Danio rerio: one gene and its partners. The main gene of each other region encodes a partner of the protein of the gene in region 4 in a complex. Links are inferred from orthologs where the notes say so. Each region holds a gene or a part of one and is shown on either strand. Other genes may lie near its edges.

Evidence for each region.
Region 1: the proteins of tubgcp5 (region 4) and tubgcp4 are in contact, whole or in part, in a cryo-EM structure (PDB 9I8M), measured with the Xenopus laevis proteins. The link is inferred for Danio rerio from reciprocal best matches to the Homo sapiens genes TUBGCP5 and TUBGCP4. Residues at the interface, in XP_018102626.1 of Xenopus laevis: His233, Leu234, His235, Leu238, Ile241, Trp242, His245, His300, Met301, Thr302, Asn304, Cys305, Ser308, Val309, Gln312, Ala392, Ile393, Leu395, Asp396, Lys397, Arg410, Leu441, Asp442, Tyr443, Asp444, Asn445, Val446, Gly447, Glu448, Ala449; in XP_018110859.1 of Xenopus laevis: Met1, Ile2, His3, Glu4, Leu7, Tyr12, Pro13, Gly14, Ser15, Ile16, Gln29, Pro32, Phe33, Glu60, Thr63, Gly64, Ile84, Arg87, Ala88, Arg91, Arg101, Leu105, Gln109, Leu112, Pro115, His116, Leu117, Val178, Gly181, Val182.
Region 2: tubgcp5 (region 4) and tubgcp3 share a complex: the UniProt entries of both Homo sapiens proteins name them as parts of the gamma-tubulin ring complex. The link is inferred for Danio rerio from reciprocal best matches to the Homo sapiens genes TUBGCP5 and TUBGCP3.
Region 3: the proteins of tubgcp5 (region 4) and mzt1 are in contact, whole or in part, in a crystal structure (PDB 6L81), measured with the Homo sapiens proteins. The link is inferred for Danio rerio from reciprocal best matches to the Homo sapiens genes TUBGCP5 and MZT1. Residues at the interface, in NP_443135.3 of Homo sapiens: Gln14, Gln15, Asp18, Val19, Glu21, Leu22, Val23, Val26, Ala27, Gly28, Asn36, Ala40, Phe43, Ala44, Asn47, Phe48, Arg52, Phe53, Leu54, Phe72, Lys80, Ser83, Trp84, Leu87, Thr88, Glu90, Phe91, Ala106, Ser109, Ile110; in NP_001065243.1 of Homo sapiens: Glu23, Val27, Leu28, Glu30, Ile31, Ser32, Ile34, Leu35, Asn36, Thr37, Leu39, Leu44, Ile46, Cys47, Val48, Arg49, Leu50, Cys51, Glu52, Gln53, Ile55, Asn56, Pro57, Glu58, Ala59, Leu60, Ser61, Ser62, Val63, Ile64.

What each region holds. Positions count from the first base shown.
Region 1 is NC_133182.1:54,542,054-54,546,678, reverse strand, and holds part of tubgcp4 (gamma-tubulin complex component 4), read left to right. Parts: intron 1-2,688; coding exon 2,689-2,794; intron 2,795-2,868; coding exon 2,869-2,976; intron 2,977-3,044; coding exon 3,045-3,189; intron 3,190-3,277; coding exon 3,278-3,455; intron 3,456-4,625. UniProt on the Homo sapiens protein: Component of the gamma-tubulin ring complex (gTuRC) which mediates microtubule nucleation.
Region 2 is NC_133176.1:49,714,012-49,718,636, forward strand, and holds part of tubgcp3 (gamma-tubulin complex component 3), read left to right. Parts: intron 1-112; coding exon 113-220; intron 221-1,112; coding exon 1,113-1,180; intron 1,181-1,296; coding exon 1,297-1,380; intron 1,381-1,791; coding exon 1,792-2,007; intron 2,008-3,006; coding exon of another isoform or gene 3,007-3,031; coding exon 3,032-3,179; intron 3,180-4,509; coding exon 4,510-4,622; intron 4,623-4,625. UniProt on the Homo sapiens protein: Component of the gamma-tubulin ring complex (gTuRC) which mediates microtubule nucleation.
Region 3 is NC_133176.1:34,322,123-34,327,429, reverse strand, and holds the start of mzt1 (mitotic-spindle organizing protein 1), read left to right. Parts: upstream 1-2,208; 5' UTR 2,209-2,443; coding exon 2,444-2,495; intron 2,496-5,158; coding exon 5,159-5,304; intron 5,305-5,307. Other genes in the region: bora (protein aurora borealis), read right to left, coding at 1,644-1,796. UniProt on the Homo sapiens protein: Required for the recruitment and the assembly of the gamma-tubulin ring complex (gTuRC) at the centrosome.
Region 4 is NC_133181.1:40,205,445-40,208,939, reverse strand, and holds part of tubgcp5 (gamma-tubulin complex component 5), read right to left. Parts: intron 2,839-3,495; coding exon 2,713-2,838; intron 2,529-2,712; coding exon 2,440-2,528; intron 2,297-2,439; coding exon 2,196-2,296; intron 1-2,195. UniProt on the Homo sapiens protein: Component of the gamma-tubulin ring complex (gTuRC) which mediates microtubule nucleation.

The DNA of each region.
Region 1 (4,625 bases), on a different chromosome or scaffold from region 4:
CCCACTGAAGCTAATCAGGGCTGCGCTGGGTCAGTACCTGGATGGGAGACTACATGGAAAAGCTAGGTTGCTGCCAGAAGTGGTGTTGGTGAGGCCTGCGGTCTGTGTGGGTCCTAATGCCCCAATATAGTGATGGGCACTCTATACTGCTCAGTGAGTGCTGTTTTTTGGATGAGACGTTAAACTGAGGTCCTGAATCTCTGTGGTCATTAAAAATAACAGTATTTCCTTCGAAAAAGAGTAGGGGTTTTGGCCAAATTTGCCCACTGGGCTCTGTCCATCATGGCCTCCTAACCCTCCCCATACCATAATTGGCTTGATTACTCTGTTTCCTCGCCACCGTGTGTGTGGTCTGGTGTAAAATGGCTGCCAACGCGTCATCCAGGTGGATGCTGCACACTGGTGGTGGATGAGGAGATTCCCCCTATGTGTAAAGCGCTATATAAATGTAAGGAATTATTATTATTATTATTACGAAAGAGGCTGCTTTGTTCATAGGCCCTGGATTGAGCGTGAACATGACCACTTCCTGCCAGAGGCACACAACTGTGGGAATGATCCATTCATTTTTAGCATATGAGAACCAAACTACATTCTGTAGCCTCTTTCTACACTTTGCAGGACCAATAAGACCCATTTGGCAGAAGTTTCTATGCTGCCAGATGATTTACTTAGGGAAGAGGCATGTTCTGTGGCATATTCTGACTCCTAAAGAAGTAGACTTGCAGAGATCAGCCGAGGTGGTCGCTCTGAAACTGTCCTTAGAGATTGGGAAAATCTCAGTGAGTTGAACTTGCTGACTACTGCTGCACACTGAAGCATGCAATGTGTTGTAATTGCTCTTCCTCTGTCTGATCCTTCTGGCATTAAATCTTTGCCATTGCTGAGAGTAAAAGTCCTCGGATTCTGTCTAAAAATACTGCGCAATGACTTCTGATGTCTTCTCATTTCCATGAAGAGACTGATCTGCAGCCTGACACAACTCCTCAATACCTTCAAGTCACATATTTGTCCCTTCTTGCTACCAAGAAGATGATGACCAAAGCCCCATCCCCTTCCCTTTGTCCTTGTTCTAAGCAATCAATGTTGCATTTCACTAATGAGTGTTCAGTTGGCTACAACTGCATTGCACCACACTAAATCCAGAAAGACAATTCTGGGTTCAGCATGTGGGGGACCCATCCATTCCCTCTGCTGAATACATCTGCGATCCTCGTTACTACATCCTCCACTGTACAACAATAACAACAACAAAACCGGAACCCAAGTCGCAAAGTCTGTGAGCCTGTGCACCCTTCCCAATGTGCAACAAATAGAAGTGGAGCACACACTTGAGTAGGTATTCGGTGTGCACAGTCAGTCCTCTTGAGAGCTCACCAGGCATCTCTTCTCCTAGATAAGTAGCACATAAATTGTGTGTATTCCTGATTTATATACATGTGTGAAAAAACCCAACAGTTCGGCTAAAAATGCACAGAGAGTGCTTGCCAAAGACCCAGAAGCTAATGCTCTTTCAAATTTTTGCTCCTTGTCCTTTTGTCACCCTGCCTGTGATGTCACATCACACCATTAGGCAAGGCAAGGCAAGGCAAGTTTATTTATATAGCACATTTCATACACAGTGGCAATTCAAAGTGCTTTACATAAACAGGAATAAAAAAGACAAGTTTAGGACATAAAATGCAGACAATAAAAATGATTAAAAACAGATAAAAACAATTTTAAAATGTGTTAAAATAGGTTATAAAAGAATGAAAAAGAAAATGAAAAACATAATAGTGCAATCTGTCGGACTTAGCACAGTGCTCATACAGTAAAGGCACAGCTAAACAGATGTGTTTTCAGTCTTGATTTTAACATGCCTAATGTTGGTGCACATCTGATCATTTCTGGAAGCTGATTCCAGCAGCGAGGGGCGTAGTGGCTGAAGGCAGATTCACCCTGCTTTGACTGAACTCTTGGAATTTCTAGTTTATATGATCCTAAAGATCTGAGTGATCTGTTGGGTTTGTATTTAGTGAGCATATCTGTAATGTATTGAGGTCCTAGGCCATTTAGTGATTTATAGACCAGTAATAATACTTTAAAATCTATTCTGAATGTAACTGGGAGCCTCTGCATTGGCAGAGGGTGTCAATGGGGCTGTAGTCATTAGGCAGTAAGGCTAGGAAGATCTGAGTGTCATCAGCATAGCTGTGGTAGGAGATTTGGTTCTTTCTCATTATTTGTCTCAGGGGGAGCATGTCATCGTCGCGCAGCACTTTGTGAGCCGCTTGCTGAAATGCCACATTGACATCTGAAAAAAAATTCAGATGTCATTAGATGGCTTAACACATTTATCAAGATACCAAAATACAGAAATGTTTCCATAGCACCACAATTTGTGATGCATCATGAGATCCCTCCAAAAAAGGAATCCATTCTCATATTAGTAAATGCTTTTATCTAAAGCGAATCTCTCCCTCTCTCACACACACACCTCCACACCCCCGAGGCAGTGAGCGGTTTGGTGCCTTGCCAAAGGGGCTCACCTCATCCATAGTATTGAGGGTGGAAGAAAGTGCAGGAAATTCATTCGATGCACCTACAATCCCTGCTGGTTTCATGACTCCGATGTGCAATTTAGATCTCTAATGTCTATTCTAACAGTGAAAACCCATAATGAATGGTCTGTTGTTATTGTTTTAGATCATAAAGGACTTTTTCTTGTTGGGGCGAGGTGAACTCTACCAGGTCTTCATTGACCTTGCTCAGCATATGCTGAAAACCCCACCTTCTGCTGTTACTGAACATGGTATTAATACAACTTACTTTATAAACCATAAACTTTTCTCCATTTCTCTAAATATATCACAATTTTTTTTCCAGATGTCAATGTGGCATTTCAGCAAGCGGCTCACAAAGTGCTGCTCGACGATGACAATCTTTTGCCACTCCTCCACCTCACCATAGACTACCATGGAAAAGAAAGCAAAGGTATTTCTGACTGACAAGCATTTTCATCTACATATGAAATACACATCATTTAATCCTTGTGGTTGTAGAGGGTTCTGGGAATCGAGAGGGCACCACTCCACCTCAGGAGAGCTCTCCTCGTGAAGCTCCGCCCACTGGCTGGGCTGCACTGGGATTGGCTTACAAGGTTCAGTGGCCTCTGCATATTCTTTTCACTCCTGCTGTGTTGGAGAAGTAGGTCATCATTTTATGTTATTATTAGTTTCATATTATTATTTAGCATGAATATAATAACTATTTATCATTAACTACATGACTACAGGTATAATGTAGTGTTCCGGTACCTGCTGAGTGTGCGTCGAGTCCAGTCCGAGTTGCAGCACTGCTGGGCTTTGCAGATGCAGCGCAAGCATCTCAAATCAAACCAGACGGATGCAGTAAAATGGAGACTCCGCAACCATATGGCCTTCCTAGTGGACAACCTTCAGTATTACCTTCAGGTTACTGCTAGAATTATTTATTTAGTCAAAAATTAATCCTCCTTTGCTGGTGATGCTAATATGCCTACACTACTATTACAAAGTTACAAGGAATCAGAAGGATTTGTTTGGTAAACTTCAAAAACATTGGTAAACATTAGTTGATTATATAGTTAAAGTGAACTAACATTGGAATATGTGTTCAGACTTTCAGCTAAATTCTTGATTTTTGTATATTGTGACAGATGATATAAAAAGTGATCGTAAAACATTTATTTTTTTTACATATTTGTTTCGAATACTTTCTATTCATCCAGGAATCCTTAAAATGTATAAAGCTACACAACCTTTTTTTTTTTTACATTTGATAATAATAACAAGAAATGTTACTTGAGCAGCAAGTCAGGATATTGCTTTATGCTTTCAGGATATGCTTTTCTTAAGGATTTTAAGGTTCTGTCTCTTTGGTTTATTCTTGTTTTTGTGACAGAGCTCAGACACTGCTTCTGTCTTGTCTCTGTTAGGGATGTAGTGTGTATAAATGTAATTTATTTCTGCGATGGTAGACATCTTAGGATAGAAGTGAGTTTATGCGGTTTTAGGCATGCGGTATGCTTAATAGGTTACTATTATTTTATGTAATCTTTTATAACTATATGAAGATCCTACAAAGTCATAATAACAAAGCATCTTGATACTGTATCATCAACAATTCACATAATGTGAAATAATGAAAACAAAGATTCATTGATTTAATTAAAAACTTTAAACAAGTCTGAAACCAAAGAATAGTTTCAACTTTCTTAAATTGTGGTGGAAACTAGGGCTGGGCGATAAGGCAAAAGTGCCATCTCCATAATTATTTTTCATATTTAACGATATATATTTTGATATGAATTGTTAATGCTTTCAGATTTAAAAGAGAACAACAAAAATGACTGAAACCACAAAAATTTGAGGGTCTATTAAATGCCAAAACATATTTTTGGGCCAATAAATTTTCAGTGGCCGGTGCATCTCTAATATCAACACACTTTTAGATTCTCATTGCTGCTGTGTAATTGGCTCCTAGATCAATATAGACTTAAAAAGAAGTTCATAGCTCGTTGTTATTGGCATAAATTTTTATCACAATTCGATATCATATGGTTTATCAGCCCAGCCCTACTGCAAACCAATTATTTATGTTCA
Region 2 (4,625 bases), on a different chromosome or scaffold from region 4:
GACTTTTTTTTATTATTTATTTAGTTTAACATTAATGGCATTTGGCATAATAAAATCTGTAAAATCTGCTTCATGTATGTATGTATGTATGTTTGTTTGTTTTTGTTCTCAGCTGACGTAGCCCATCAGTTCCAGTACGCTGTGCGGGTCATTGGAAGTAATTACGCTCCCACAATTGAACGGGACGAGTTTTTGGTGTCTGAGAAAATTAAGAAAGAATGTGAGTGATGTTGAAACCCTATCCTTTTTTTTGTGCACATGTGCTTTTAGAAGGCCTGAAACAAATATTTTGTGTTTTTTTTTTTTGACCTGTTATATTAATCTACAAAAAAAAAAAATAAAAGTAAAATTATATGAGAATTAAGTTTTAAGAATTTTATTTCAGAAACATAATATTAAACTTTGTTTCCGCATGAAAAATAGAAATTAGGGTGAATTGTTAATCTGCTATAGTAGCTGGAATTTCAGCAGATGTAGTCATAGAAATTCATAATATCAGATTTAGGACTTTGGTAAGATGATGAAATCAACATAATTCTGAATGTTCAGTATAACAGAATAAAAAAAATACAACTGATCAGCAAATTTACTGTGAATAATATCGATAATTTGTGATTAACTGATGATTGGTTTTAACCATATTTTTGTCTTGAGTTATCTTTTCCAAGGTTGGATAATTGTTATGTATAATCAAATCCATTTTTAAGTTACTTTTAAATATTGAAAGAATGATCACTGTATGTACCAGATTATACATATTTTTGTGTCAAATTTACAGTTCTACTTTCTTTATAGTAAAATAACACAAAATAATGCTGTCAGCTAGAATTTCAGAATTAAGATTGACAAAAATCATTAATATTGCAGACAACCCGATTCAAAAACCACTGTAATGTATTTACTGTGTGTTTATTGTCTGTTACTTTTCTTTGTTCCTTTACTGACTATGCATAATTATTCCACCATGTTGTCATTAGTAATAATCCAGCCCTGGACCTATCGGCGTAGAGACAATTCTGTCAAAAATGCCCTTTAATAATAGCTGCATTAAAAAGAAAAACTTTATATTTTGGTGTCATCATTTATTGTTGATTATTGCTGAATTCTTGCAGTGTTGAAACAAAGGCGGGAAGCAGATGCAGCCCTTTTCTCTGAGTTGCACAGAAAGCTTCAGACCCAGGTCAGAATCGATCATTATTCTCATTATTTCCCAGCTAGCCGTGGTGCACGGATCAGATATAATGATCGTTAGATTGTTAGATGTTGTATGTTGATTCAGTTGTTTCTGTTCAACAGGGTGTATTGAAACACAGATGGTCCATCTTATACCTCCTGCTCAGCCTCTGTGAGGACCCAAGGAAACCATCCGGCCGGGTTCCTGTATGAAATCCTATTTTACAGACTCAGTGATATGAAATATAACTTTACATGATGTATAACAAAGGCTATAGAATACACAAGACGTGTCGCTCTTATAGTTTTGAATGGCGAAAAGTGTAAAGGTCAATATGACGAATGAAGCCCCGTCTTCTAGTACAGGAGACAATCAGCAATCGATATAGACTGACGATTCTTTGGGGGAAGGGGGGGGGGGGGGTGTATTCATTGATGATTCCTAATTTGAAATTAAATCTTAAGCTTGGCAAGCATTTTTAGAGAATTTGATGTTACCCCATTCAAACAGAATACCTCAGCATACAAGGCATTTCAAAGATGGTCTTCGAGTAAAATGACTTGCCTTAAAGGGATTTTGTGTATAAGCGCAGAAGTAATCTTGTTTTCTGTCTACAGGTGTGTAGTTATGGAGCTCTGCTTGCTCAGGCTTTGCCCCGTGATGTTCACTCCACACCGTTCTACTATGCCCGTCCTCAGAGTCTCCCACTCAGCTACCCAGAGCGCTCCGCCACAGCTCATAACTCCAGCATGGCTACCAGTGGAATCAGCAGTATGGGGGTGTTTTCTATTAATGGGCCTGGACCGACCCCACCATCTTTGCTTACTGGGTCAGTTGCAGACAATAAACCTTTTTCATATTTGCAGCTTTCTCAGCAGTGGAAGTCGTCATTCTTGGGGAAGCTTAAAAAATACACTTCGAAAAAAAAAAAAAAATGGAATGACATAATTTCGATATAATAATTTCGGCATAAAATATATACATATATGTATATATGTATGTATTTTTTTATACAATAAGTAAAATACAGTATAACACAGCAAGTATTTGCATATAGAAATCATTGTGTTGGTACGTAGAATTTTATATGAATGATCTTAAAGCATACTTCTCAAATATTACATATTATAAATGAATATAATTAAGGGAAATCTGAGAGCTCCCTCATCCTCCATAGACGGCAATAATTCCCAACTTATTTTTGTACATAAAATAATTCAGTGGTTCTATAGGTGGTTTAAAAAATGTTGTAAGAAAAGATCTAGCTGAATTTTCTCTCCTGTGAACAGTTGTTGTGTCATTCTTATTCAGCTTCTGTTGAATTGCTTCATATAATCCTTTATAAAGTCTATGACAAAACATAAGGGTTTCTCTCTCTCCTTCCCTCCCCTTTTCATAATTATCTTTTCAATTATACAGCTGTTGTATTTGTCGCACGTTTAATTGAACTGCCGCACACTCATCTATTATTAATGCATTTGTCTAGCACCTGCAGCACTTAAGATATTTTAAATATGGCCATGTCCTCCAAGCTCCTGAATTAATTGATTACCGGATCCATTTCACAGTAAATCTGTCAGAGCAAACAACATCATTAAAGTGTCCAGAGCTCAATGTCATTATTTGTTTAAAGCGTGCCATTATGTGGTAATTAGTGAATTCCCACTGGTTTTGCTAATGGGCAACGAGAATGTGTCTCGAAAATTTATGTGGTGAAAAAGACAAATATTTCTTTCACCGCAGCCTTAGAGTTGGACTTTTTGTTCTAGAATTTAACATACAGCATCATGAGGTAAATTTTTATAAATCTATACCATTTTTTTCTGTTTTAGAGCTGGAACTCAGGCTGTTGGAGAGTCTATGAGAGGGTCTCGTTTAGCCTGGACTCTGCCAGTGTCCAGTTCTCCGTCTGGGGCAGCAGCTGCTCCTCGTCCCCCCAGCGGACCCTCCTCCAGTCCAGCTCCCAAACCACTGCAAAGACCCAGGCGGGACGGAGATGGCAGTGGTTGGTATCTGCAGCAGTAATCTTAGATTTTTGTTAAAAGACATGGCCAGTTGGAAAGTGTCGATTGCTTATACTAAAAAAAATAAAATAAGGATAGTATTTTAAAAACTTAAAGGATACTTCGCCCAAAACTTTTAATTTACTCCTCCTTTACTTACTGCAAATGGTTTAAAACTAGTACTGATTTATTAATTGCAGTAGCAGTTTCACAAATTTGAAACCACAGATGTTGCGATTACACTTTAGTCATGTGACATACAGAGGAAGTATTATGGATTTCTTATTTTTATTGGGATATACACTCACCAGCCACTTTATTAGTTACACCTTATGGCCCGTTTCCATTGAGTGGTACTGTTCTGTTTGGTACTCTTTTATGGCCATTTCCACTGTCAAAAGGCGTACCAAACCGTACCATACCAATTGTTCGGCACCCTTTCGAAAGGGTACCAAACACGAGAAAAGGTACCAAAACGTGGAGCTAGACGTGCAGCTGAACGCTATTGGAATGTGGGAAACTGGTTGCCATTGACTTTGATAGTAGGAAATGTATATTTTAAAAAATTATATTTATAACAAGCTGAAATATGGATTTGTTATTGAATTTATCATTATGTAAATGTGTTTTATGGATGTTGAGCTTGCCATGAAATAGCCTGTCACATTGCTGTTGTGACAGTTATAATAATAATAAAAAAATTATAATATTAAAGCAAATAAATAAATAATAAAAAAAGAATAATTATAATAAAATATTTTTTAACAAAAAGCAATGACAAAAAAGATATTTTGAAGAATGTTGGAGACCAGTAGCCATTGACTTCAGTAGTATTTTCCCTCTAATCAATGGCAACCGTTTTCCAACATTCTTCTCTTCAGAATATCTTCTTTTGTGTTAAACAGTTTGTGTTTGTGTTTCAGTAAATGACAGAAATACATTTTTTTACCATTTCTCTATGAAGATAAATGTAAATAAATATATTTTATATCCTATATAAATGATCATTTAACACCATTGACATCAGCCCAAGTGTTTTATTCAGTATATGCAATAAATGGGTCCGTCTGTGAACAAACCCTCATTTTATTTTACAGAATATTTTCCTTTTTTTTTTTTTTTTTAATTAATCAGAGTAGATTCTTGCATTTCACATTAGACTTGTGTCCTTTCTTGTGCATTCCTTAGACCTGAAGAAGGATTTCTGAGGTGTTTAAGATGCAGAGGGCCACACGGCACCTTTCTCTGTGACAGATATATGAGTCTGACCTTTACAGTACTTCAAACTGTCTTTTTTTCACTACTTTTTTTTCCTCTCTTTTTCTGGGCCAGCTGATATTGGGGAAGCTGCTCTCGTCCGAGACATTCTTTATGTTTTCCAGGGAATCGACGGAAAGTTCATCAAGATGTGCAGCCCGGAAAACTGCTACAAAATTGATTCAAAGGTG
Region 3 (5,307 bases), on a different chromosome or scaffold from region 4:
AAAAAATATAAAGTTTTAAACAAAATAGCAAAACCCTTTCCAAGTTTTTTGTGTAGGCTTGTATTTTACAGTACTGTAAAAATACACAAAAATGTCTCAATCAATGTTTTTAAACAATTATATTTAAGTCACATGAGTGACAGTTTAACATGTAACATCCATAATGGAGAGATGCCACATCCATAAAGAAGCTTTTTCCACATAAATACAAAAATGTCAAAAAAAATACAATCAATAATTTTAGTTCTACAGTGAGCCAACTCTTATCATTTTGATTAGCATTGTTTATTTTAGGTTGTGCAGTTTAATTCACAGTATTTCTACAAAGTATGTTATATACTGCAAACTCACAGACTTTTTTGGTCACATTCATAAAAAAGCATGTCTATTTTCCTCATTTAAAATATAACAAATGCTTACAGATTGATATTTTGTCAGATCCCATAACTCTGTGGTTAGTTGTTTTGGAAAATTTAATCAGATGTTTCCATATACAGTTGAAGTCAGAATTATTAGCCCACCTGTTTATTTTTTCCCCAATTTTTGTTTAACAGAGAGATTTTCTCAGCACAGTTCTAATCATAAGAGTATTAATAACTCATCTCTAATAACTGATTTATTTATTCTTTGCCATGATGACAGTAAATAATATTTGAAAGACAGTTTTATACAGCTTAAATTGACATTTAAAGGCTTAACTAGGTTAATTAGGTTAACTAGGCGGATTAGGATAATTAGGCAAGTTACTGTGTATTGATAATTTGTTCTGTAGACAGTGTAAAAAATATATAGCTTACAAAGGCGAATAATTTTGTCCTTAAAATGTTTTTTTTTTTCAATTAAAAACTGCTTTTATTATAGCCAAAATAAAACAAATAAGACTTTCTTCAGAAGAAAAGTATTATCAGACATACTGTGAAAATTTCCTTGCTCCATTAATCATCCTTTGGGAGATACTTAAAAAAAGAAAATTCAAAGGGGGGCTAATAATTCTGACTTTAACTGTACATTCTATGTGTATGCTTTAAGTTTTTACTGCAAATGTCACATCCGTAATGCTGGAATTGCTCTCATCATTTACTCAACCTTAACCTGTTTGAGTGATTTTCCCCTGTTGAACTCAAAGAGAAATTTACAAAAGAACGTTCAGAAATAAACAGCCATTGACTGATTTTTTTTTTCCTTCAAACTTTAACAACTGACCAAAGTGTTCCTCACAACTGGCTTGCTAGGTTTGGGACTTGGGAAGCTGCACATCAATGGACTTGCTCTTCTGTATTTGTACTTTTAGCAGTGAATTTTAAATCACAGTAAACTGAACTACACTAAACTGAACTTCAACTCTGGATTGACACAGTTTCCATCTACTAGAAGCAGCTTTGAAACATTCTACATTGTAAAAATAGAAAAAAACATGAATTGAACTTCCATCATGTTTTTAGTGTCTACTATGAATATCAATCACTGTTTTCGTCCCCCAACATTCTTCAGAATATCTTGTTTTGTATTCAACAGAAGAGAGTATTTAATAATGGTTGAGAACCACTTAAGAGTAAATAATAGTGATGAAATTGACATTTTGGGAGGGTGAGCTATCCCTTTAGTTCTTTCCTCATATGTAGTAGAGTCAGTTAATTACTCACCGCTGACGAGCTCTTACAGCTTTTAAAGACAGACGGACTGGGCACCACAGACTCATGCAGACGGTGATAGTCGTTTGGGCTCTCAAACGGGTTCAGGATAGTAGGTCTAGCAGGAGTCTCGGGAGTTATATGAATCTTTGCGATGTCTCCCATCTTTAAAAAGACATCCAGCTGAGCACGCTGAATGTGTGAGAGTAAAACACGGAAAAGAGGAGATTATTTAAAGTATCAACAAATCAGAGCGATGAACATCATGTTTGCTTAGTTATATATCTTGTTATACATACACAAAAGATCAATGATACAATGTTCTACCTTTGGTAATCAGCAGTCTTAACGTTATAAAAGAAGGGGAAAACGTTAACCATGTGTTAGTTAATTAAATACTTACATCGTAACGAAACTCAAACAAACGTAACTGTGATATATGAATTGCTCCAACGTCTGATTTAATTTTTGATCAAGCGGTGCAAGCCAATCACAATCGAGCAAAACTTGCAAAACAGCCAATCAGGTGAGAAGAACGACACCCTTTCAGTGTCTACGTAACTTCCTTTCGAACGTGTGCAACTTTATTGACAGGATTACCATAACATCAAGCGGGAGGTGTAAATATAACGGCTGACAGTTAGTTCATGCTTGTTGTTGAATGCGTTTTATATTTTTCACCCTTGTTGTAAGTTCGCGAATGGTGAGAGAACGCCAGCAACTAACGTTTACAGAGATAGACGCATCAGTGTCGTCTGAATGAAAGATAGTGCGCTGTTAAGTAATCATATAGCTTTAGCAACGATAGCATCATGGCTAGTCCTGCAAGCGCAAACATGAACGCTGTCCGCGAGACCATGGATGGTAAGATTAAATGCATCAGTAGAATGATGAAATGCTGTCATTATAATGCATGCCCGTAGACAGCCTGGTGAAAGGGGTGGTTCTTTATTTTCTCATATGGTGGACCTTGTTGCAGTTATTCACTTCAAAAAAATGCTTTTTTAAAGTAACGTTACTTTATGAAATGTTGCCATATGGCATCGACGTCCAACAGTGGACATAACTTAGAAAATTTAAATGTAGAACTTTCCTTCTAATGAATAATTTTGTTCTTTGAAATGATTTAACTGGTGTTGCAGTATTATAAGCTTTAACACAGAACTTATAAATGACACCTTATGCATACTTTTCAACAACTGATATTCCAACAGCTTTTATTTATTCCATTCTTTTTTGCTGAATATTATTAAAACATAATATTGTTTTATAATGTATACAACACGGTAAAGGTAAATATTTTCTAAACATTTAAGTAAATATTATAATAAATATACCAGTACAATCTATCTAGATGTATCAATGTAGTTACTAGCTAACATTGTTTATATATTATATACTATATACTATACTACGCCTGTTTTAAATGCCTCCGAGCAAACTTACCTGAACTGTCTCCATCACTGTTCTTATCAAATGTCCAACCTGCATCATTCTCACGGTCACTAAAACCCATCTCAACATCACTTTCATCTGCAGGAAGAGCCAGATCTGTCCATTTCTTCTTCCACTTACCATAGAACATGGTGGTCCTCATTAATACACTGTTCCCTGTATTTATTTCTAATCAAACGTATTGCCATTAAAATGTGATTTTATCCATTTAATTTCTATTAATATATGACCAATTAACATTATATTACTAGCATTCATGTTGTTATTGTTACAACTTAAAAGATCACAGCTGACCTTGCTAGCTAGCTAACCCATTGCAATACTGCACATTCCACTATTGCACAGAGCAACACATACATTTGATCGAATTACAAAAAACTAACAAATATCAACTTGAATATAAGTTGGTTTTCTTTACCTCTTTTTCTGTCCATTTCTGCCAAAAACATGCTCTTACATAGGGCTGCACAATATTGGAAAAATCTTACATTGTGATATTTCACTTTACTGCGATTAGAAATAGACTGGTATTAGATTCTGATGGTACTGTATGATAACCTTGTATATAAATATGACTGTATTGTGATTACTAAAATATATATTCTTTTTAAATGTCTAAGTAAAAAACAAAAACTTTTTCCCCTTTAAACAACTTTTTTTTATTTAGAGAAATATTTAAAGTATTTTGAAACAGTAAACATGTCAGGCTAAATAATTAAAATGAATTATTGCATTCTGACTTCATTAGTTTCAAAAACACTGAACAGCTCTACTTGGAAAGAAAGATTTCATTCATATAGATCAGCTGGGATAATTAAATCTTTTTCAATGCAGTGCATCAGCATAAAATATAATAAATTACAAGCATATTCAAACAAGACAGAGCAAAAATAAACAGTGCTTTATGGTTTTCTAAGGAGTGTAAAAGTAATCAAATACAATAAAACGTAAAATAACATCACTGTATAAATAACCTAAAAAATAATAACTTTTTAATCTTTGATAAACAGTCTAATTTTGTGATATGGCTATTGTGGATACACATAATGCAATATAGATGCTCAAACTATATATTGTTTAGCCCTACTTTCACATTATTTGTGCTGTGTAAGCATTACATAAATACATTTTACATAGATATAAAAATAGATTTAAACTAAATAGATTGTTGACTGTTTTACAATATGCAGTGCAAACATTAGGTCATGAAAATTTACTTAAAAGTCCTGGAGAAGGCATGGAATTTTAGTAGTAAAAATGTGTATGAACCCTGTATATTAAAAGATAAATAAATAAAGCTTGATGATTTTTATAGCCTCCCATGTAAAAAAAAAAGTACATTTGAAAATTCATGGATCACAAGAATAGCCTAGGTATTAACTTTAGTATAACTAAAGCTTTGCTGCTTAAGGTCCAAGATTTAGAATCAAAGTTTTTTGTAAAATGTTTTCTCTATTTAACAACAGTGCAGTTGGTCAGTAGTGAAAAATGATTTCACTTACAGTTGTGTCAGATTCTGCTTTGTCCTAAAGCTATTTATGGGATGTGTTTGCAATTTTTGATGGCTTAGCAGATAAAATTGGACTATTGAGCTCATGTGTGTGGCAAATTCTGGAACTTTGTCGGTGTGGGTGGGTATTTCGAACCACTCGAACCCCTCTTAGCTTTGGGTCTGTAATTTGTTATTTTATTACATGGCGATACAGATCCTCACAAACTAAACATAAGTAACGTAAGAAACATAAGTGTGAATAAAAATGTTAATAATGTAAATTAATAATAATATCTCTATTGGTAATTTCTTTGTTGCATTTTATTGGTGGCATTCTAGTTGATTATGTCTCAAAACGTACTAAAACCAATTCAAATATGTTGTCATAAGAGGTTAAATTAAATTGAAGGTAAAATGAAGTCCTTTAGAACTTCTGTAATGTTTCTGTTTTGTTTTTTTGTTTTCAGAAGGGGGAAATAACTACACTTACTGCGTTAACCAAATTATTTCATAATACATTTATTTATACATTTACATACAAGGTTGTTTGACATGATTTGTTTCATTCTTTCACTCTCAGTTCTCCTGGAGATATCAAGGCTGCTGAATACAGGATTGGACATGGAGTCTTTGTCAATATGTGTCCGTCTCTGTGAGCAGGGGATCAATCCCGAAGCCCTGTCATCAGTTATCAAAGAACTCAGAAGAGCCTCAGACTCACTAAAGGTA
Region 4 (3,495 bases):
CTTTAATGGTGGCATGGTTGTTTGTGCCAGAGGGGCTGGTCTGAGTATTTCAAAAACTGCTGATCTACTGGGATTTTCACACACAACCATCTCTAGGGTTTACAGAGAATGATCCGAAAGAGAGAAAATATCCAGTGAGAGGCAGTTCTGTGGGTGCAAATGCCTTGTTGATGCTGGAGGTCAGAGGAGAATGGCCAGACTGGTTCGAGCTGATAGAAAGGCAACAGTAACTTAAATAAACACTCGTTACAACTGAGGTATGCAGAAGAGCATCTCTAAACGCACAACACATCCAACTTTGAGACGGATGGGCTACAGCAGCAGAAGACCCCACCAGGTGGCACTCCTGTCAGCTAAGAACAGAAAACAGGCTACAATTCGCACAGGCTCACCAAAATAGGACAATAGAAAATTGGAAAAACGCTGCCTGATCTGATGAGTCTCGATTTCTGCTGCGACATTCGGATGATTGGGTCAGAATTTGAAGTCAACAACATGAAAGCATGGATCCATCCTGCCTATCATCGGTTCTGGCTGGTGGTGGTGGTGTAATGGTGTGAGGGATATTTTCTTGGCAATTGAGCATTGTGTCAATGCCACAGCCCACCCGAGTATTGTTGCTGACCATGTTCATCCCTTTATGACCACAGTGTACCCATATTCTGATGGCTACTTCCTGCAGGATAACACGCCATGTCATAAAGCGTGAATTATCTCAGACTGGTTTCTAAAAAATGACAATGTAATGTGTATTTATATAGTGCAATAATTGTGTATGGCCATACACCTAAAGTGCTTCATAACCATGGTGGGGGGGTCTCTCCTCACCACCACCAGTGTGCATCATCCACTTGGATGATGCGATGGCTGCCACAGGACAACGGCGCCAGTGCGCTTGTCACACAACAACTGTAGGTGGAGTGGAGAGACAGTGATAGAGCCAATTCGGTGGATGGGAATGATTGAGAGGCCATGATCATAAGGGCCGATTGAGGGACTTTGGCCTGGACACAGGGGTTACACCCCTACTCTTTTTTTTTTTTAAGGAGAACTGCCATGGGATTTTTAATGACCACAGAGAGCCAGGACCATGGTTTAACGTCTTATCCAAAAGACAGAACTCACTGTACTCAAATGGCCTCCACAGTCACCAGATCTTAATCCAACAGCGCACCTTTGGGCTGCGGTGGAACAGGAGATTCGCATCGATTCTATTATGTCAATATGGACCAAAATCTCAGAAGAATATTTCCAGTACCTTGTTGAATTTATGCCACGAAGCATTAAGGCAGTTCTGAAGGCAAATGTGGGTCCAACCTGGTACTAGTAAGGTGTACCTAATAAAGTGGCCAGTAAGTGTATTAAAAAGATAATTTTGACTTAATTTCATTAACACATCTATGTAATAATTGTATATATTTGGTAATATTCAGCAAATACATACTGGGGGGGGTAAGGTTCTATATTTTCTTCAGTAATCAAGTGTCAGATTCAATTTAATTAACAAAAAGTGATTTTATATACATGAAGATATTAAATGCAACTTAAGTTTTTAAAGTTTTAATTACATTTGTGAAACTATCATTTCCAGTTAGAGTGAAATAATGTCCAAGTTAATATAAACATTTATATGCAAATGAACAATTGTCTGACCTGTACATAATTAAAAAAAAAGTGATTCTACAAAATTGTATTTTATTTGACATGATTAAAAAATAACTGCCACCAACTGGGTGAAACCTAGTAGTTCAAATGATATTGTCAAAGTATAAAGATTTCAAATGGTATATAAAATATTATTGTACAGAATGCTACTTCATGTTTATTCTGTAATTCAAGCTAAAAATATGTGTGAAGTCATTATTTATTTGCTCAGAATAATTAATCGAGACATTTTATGTCTTTATATCAATTCATTTTAACTTTTTAAAAACATTTAAAAGACATCTTTTTGCACAAGTTCTTAATTACCAGTAAGGTGAGCTGGTTTTTACAGTCGAGTAGTGTTTGTACATGGATTTTAACCTTTTTTCTTTTACTGTAAAGCACTTTGTGACTTCTTGTCTGGGAAATGTGCTAAAGAAATAGTACATTATACTTGATATTTAAAACCCACAAATTGATCCACAAACATTTAAACATGCTTTCTTTTCTTCACACTATTGTTTTAAAATGCACTGTAGTTTAGGACTTACGATGAGGAAATGAGCCTCTGCAAACAGCCTTGTTTAATATGGTCACCAGAAACATGTGACAGTTTTTAAAATCCGACTCCATTTTGTCAATCGACTCGATTCTGGGGAAAAGAAGAGAGACGTGAATATTGCAATCCACAGTCATGAGGAAAAAAAGAAAGCTAAAGAGAAGTGAAAGCTCATGGTCATCAAGCTGAAGTGAAAGCTGTGAGATAGGGATACATGTAAGATTTTTTTTACTTACTTCCAGGCCCCAAAACCAGCCTGCCATCTGTCAGAGAAGATGAGAACTAAATTCAGCACTTTCATGATGGCCTCCTTGACAAAACTGACCTGCAAAGACACAGTAACCCCAATTTGATGGATCAGAAATATTCCAAATATCTATACCGGTTTAAAAGATTAAGAAAACTAGGCCACCCATCAGAAGTACATTTTCAACCGTGACATGCAATTTTGTGCAATAATAAGTCAAATTTCGAGATTTTTTTTTTTTCAATGTCTAATTCCAGCGTACTTTCTCTCTGAGCAGACATCGGTCATGAATGGTGGACAAGTATCTGTAGTGGATTTTAATGAGCTGGTCCAGGTCTTTTGCCTCCTGTACTTGGTGTTGAAACTCTAGACCCGTACTATGCAATATCTGCGAATAAAATGAATCAAATAAAAACAGATGTTAGAAACACAGTCTGAACTCAACTACAAATAAAGCAAGCTTTCTGCACGTTTTATGTAGGAAAATTTAAGGCTTTGAATTATTTTAAGACCTTGTAAGCAAGCTTTAATAATACTTTGAAGGGAACACAATATGTCCAAATGTTCTCTAAATGTATAACAGTTTTATTAGCAAGAACATAAGAACTTTTATATTTTTTTATTTATTTTATAGCTTGAGATTTAAATAATTCCAAAACTAAAATAAACCTTCTGATCACACTGTAGAAAAAAAAAAAAAAACGATGTTCTTCTTTAGTATTTTTGTCTAGTTTTTCCAATGTGAATGTCGATATACATTTACTTTAGAAGCAAAATGAGATTTAATAAGCTGCCTAATAGGTTTTCTATAAAAAGGAAGTTTCTTATTGGGTAGAAAAGTCTTTTTTGTAGTCCTTGTAGTTTTAAGTATAAATTCACTTTTGTTCAATTTATGGGATGATAATCGGTTTCAAGGTATACTCTAGAAATCACAATTTTAAAACCGCTAAAATGTTCTGTTATACCATTTCAAGGGTTATTTGTGTTTTTAATTTGTTTGTTATGTATTGTTCATGAAATCTGTGTTTTTAAAACTAATGAAGAG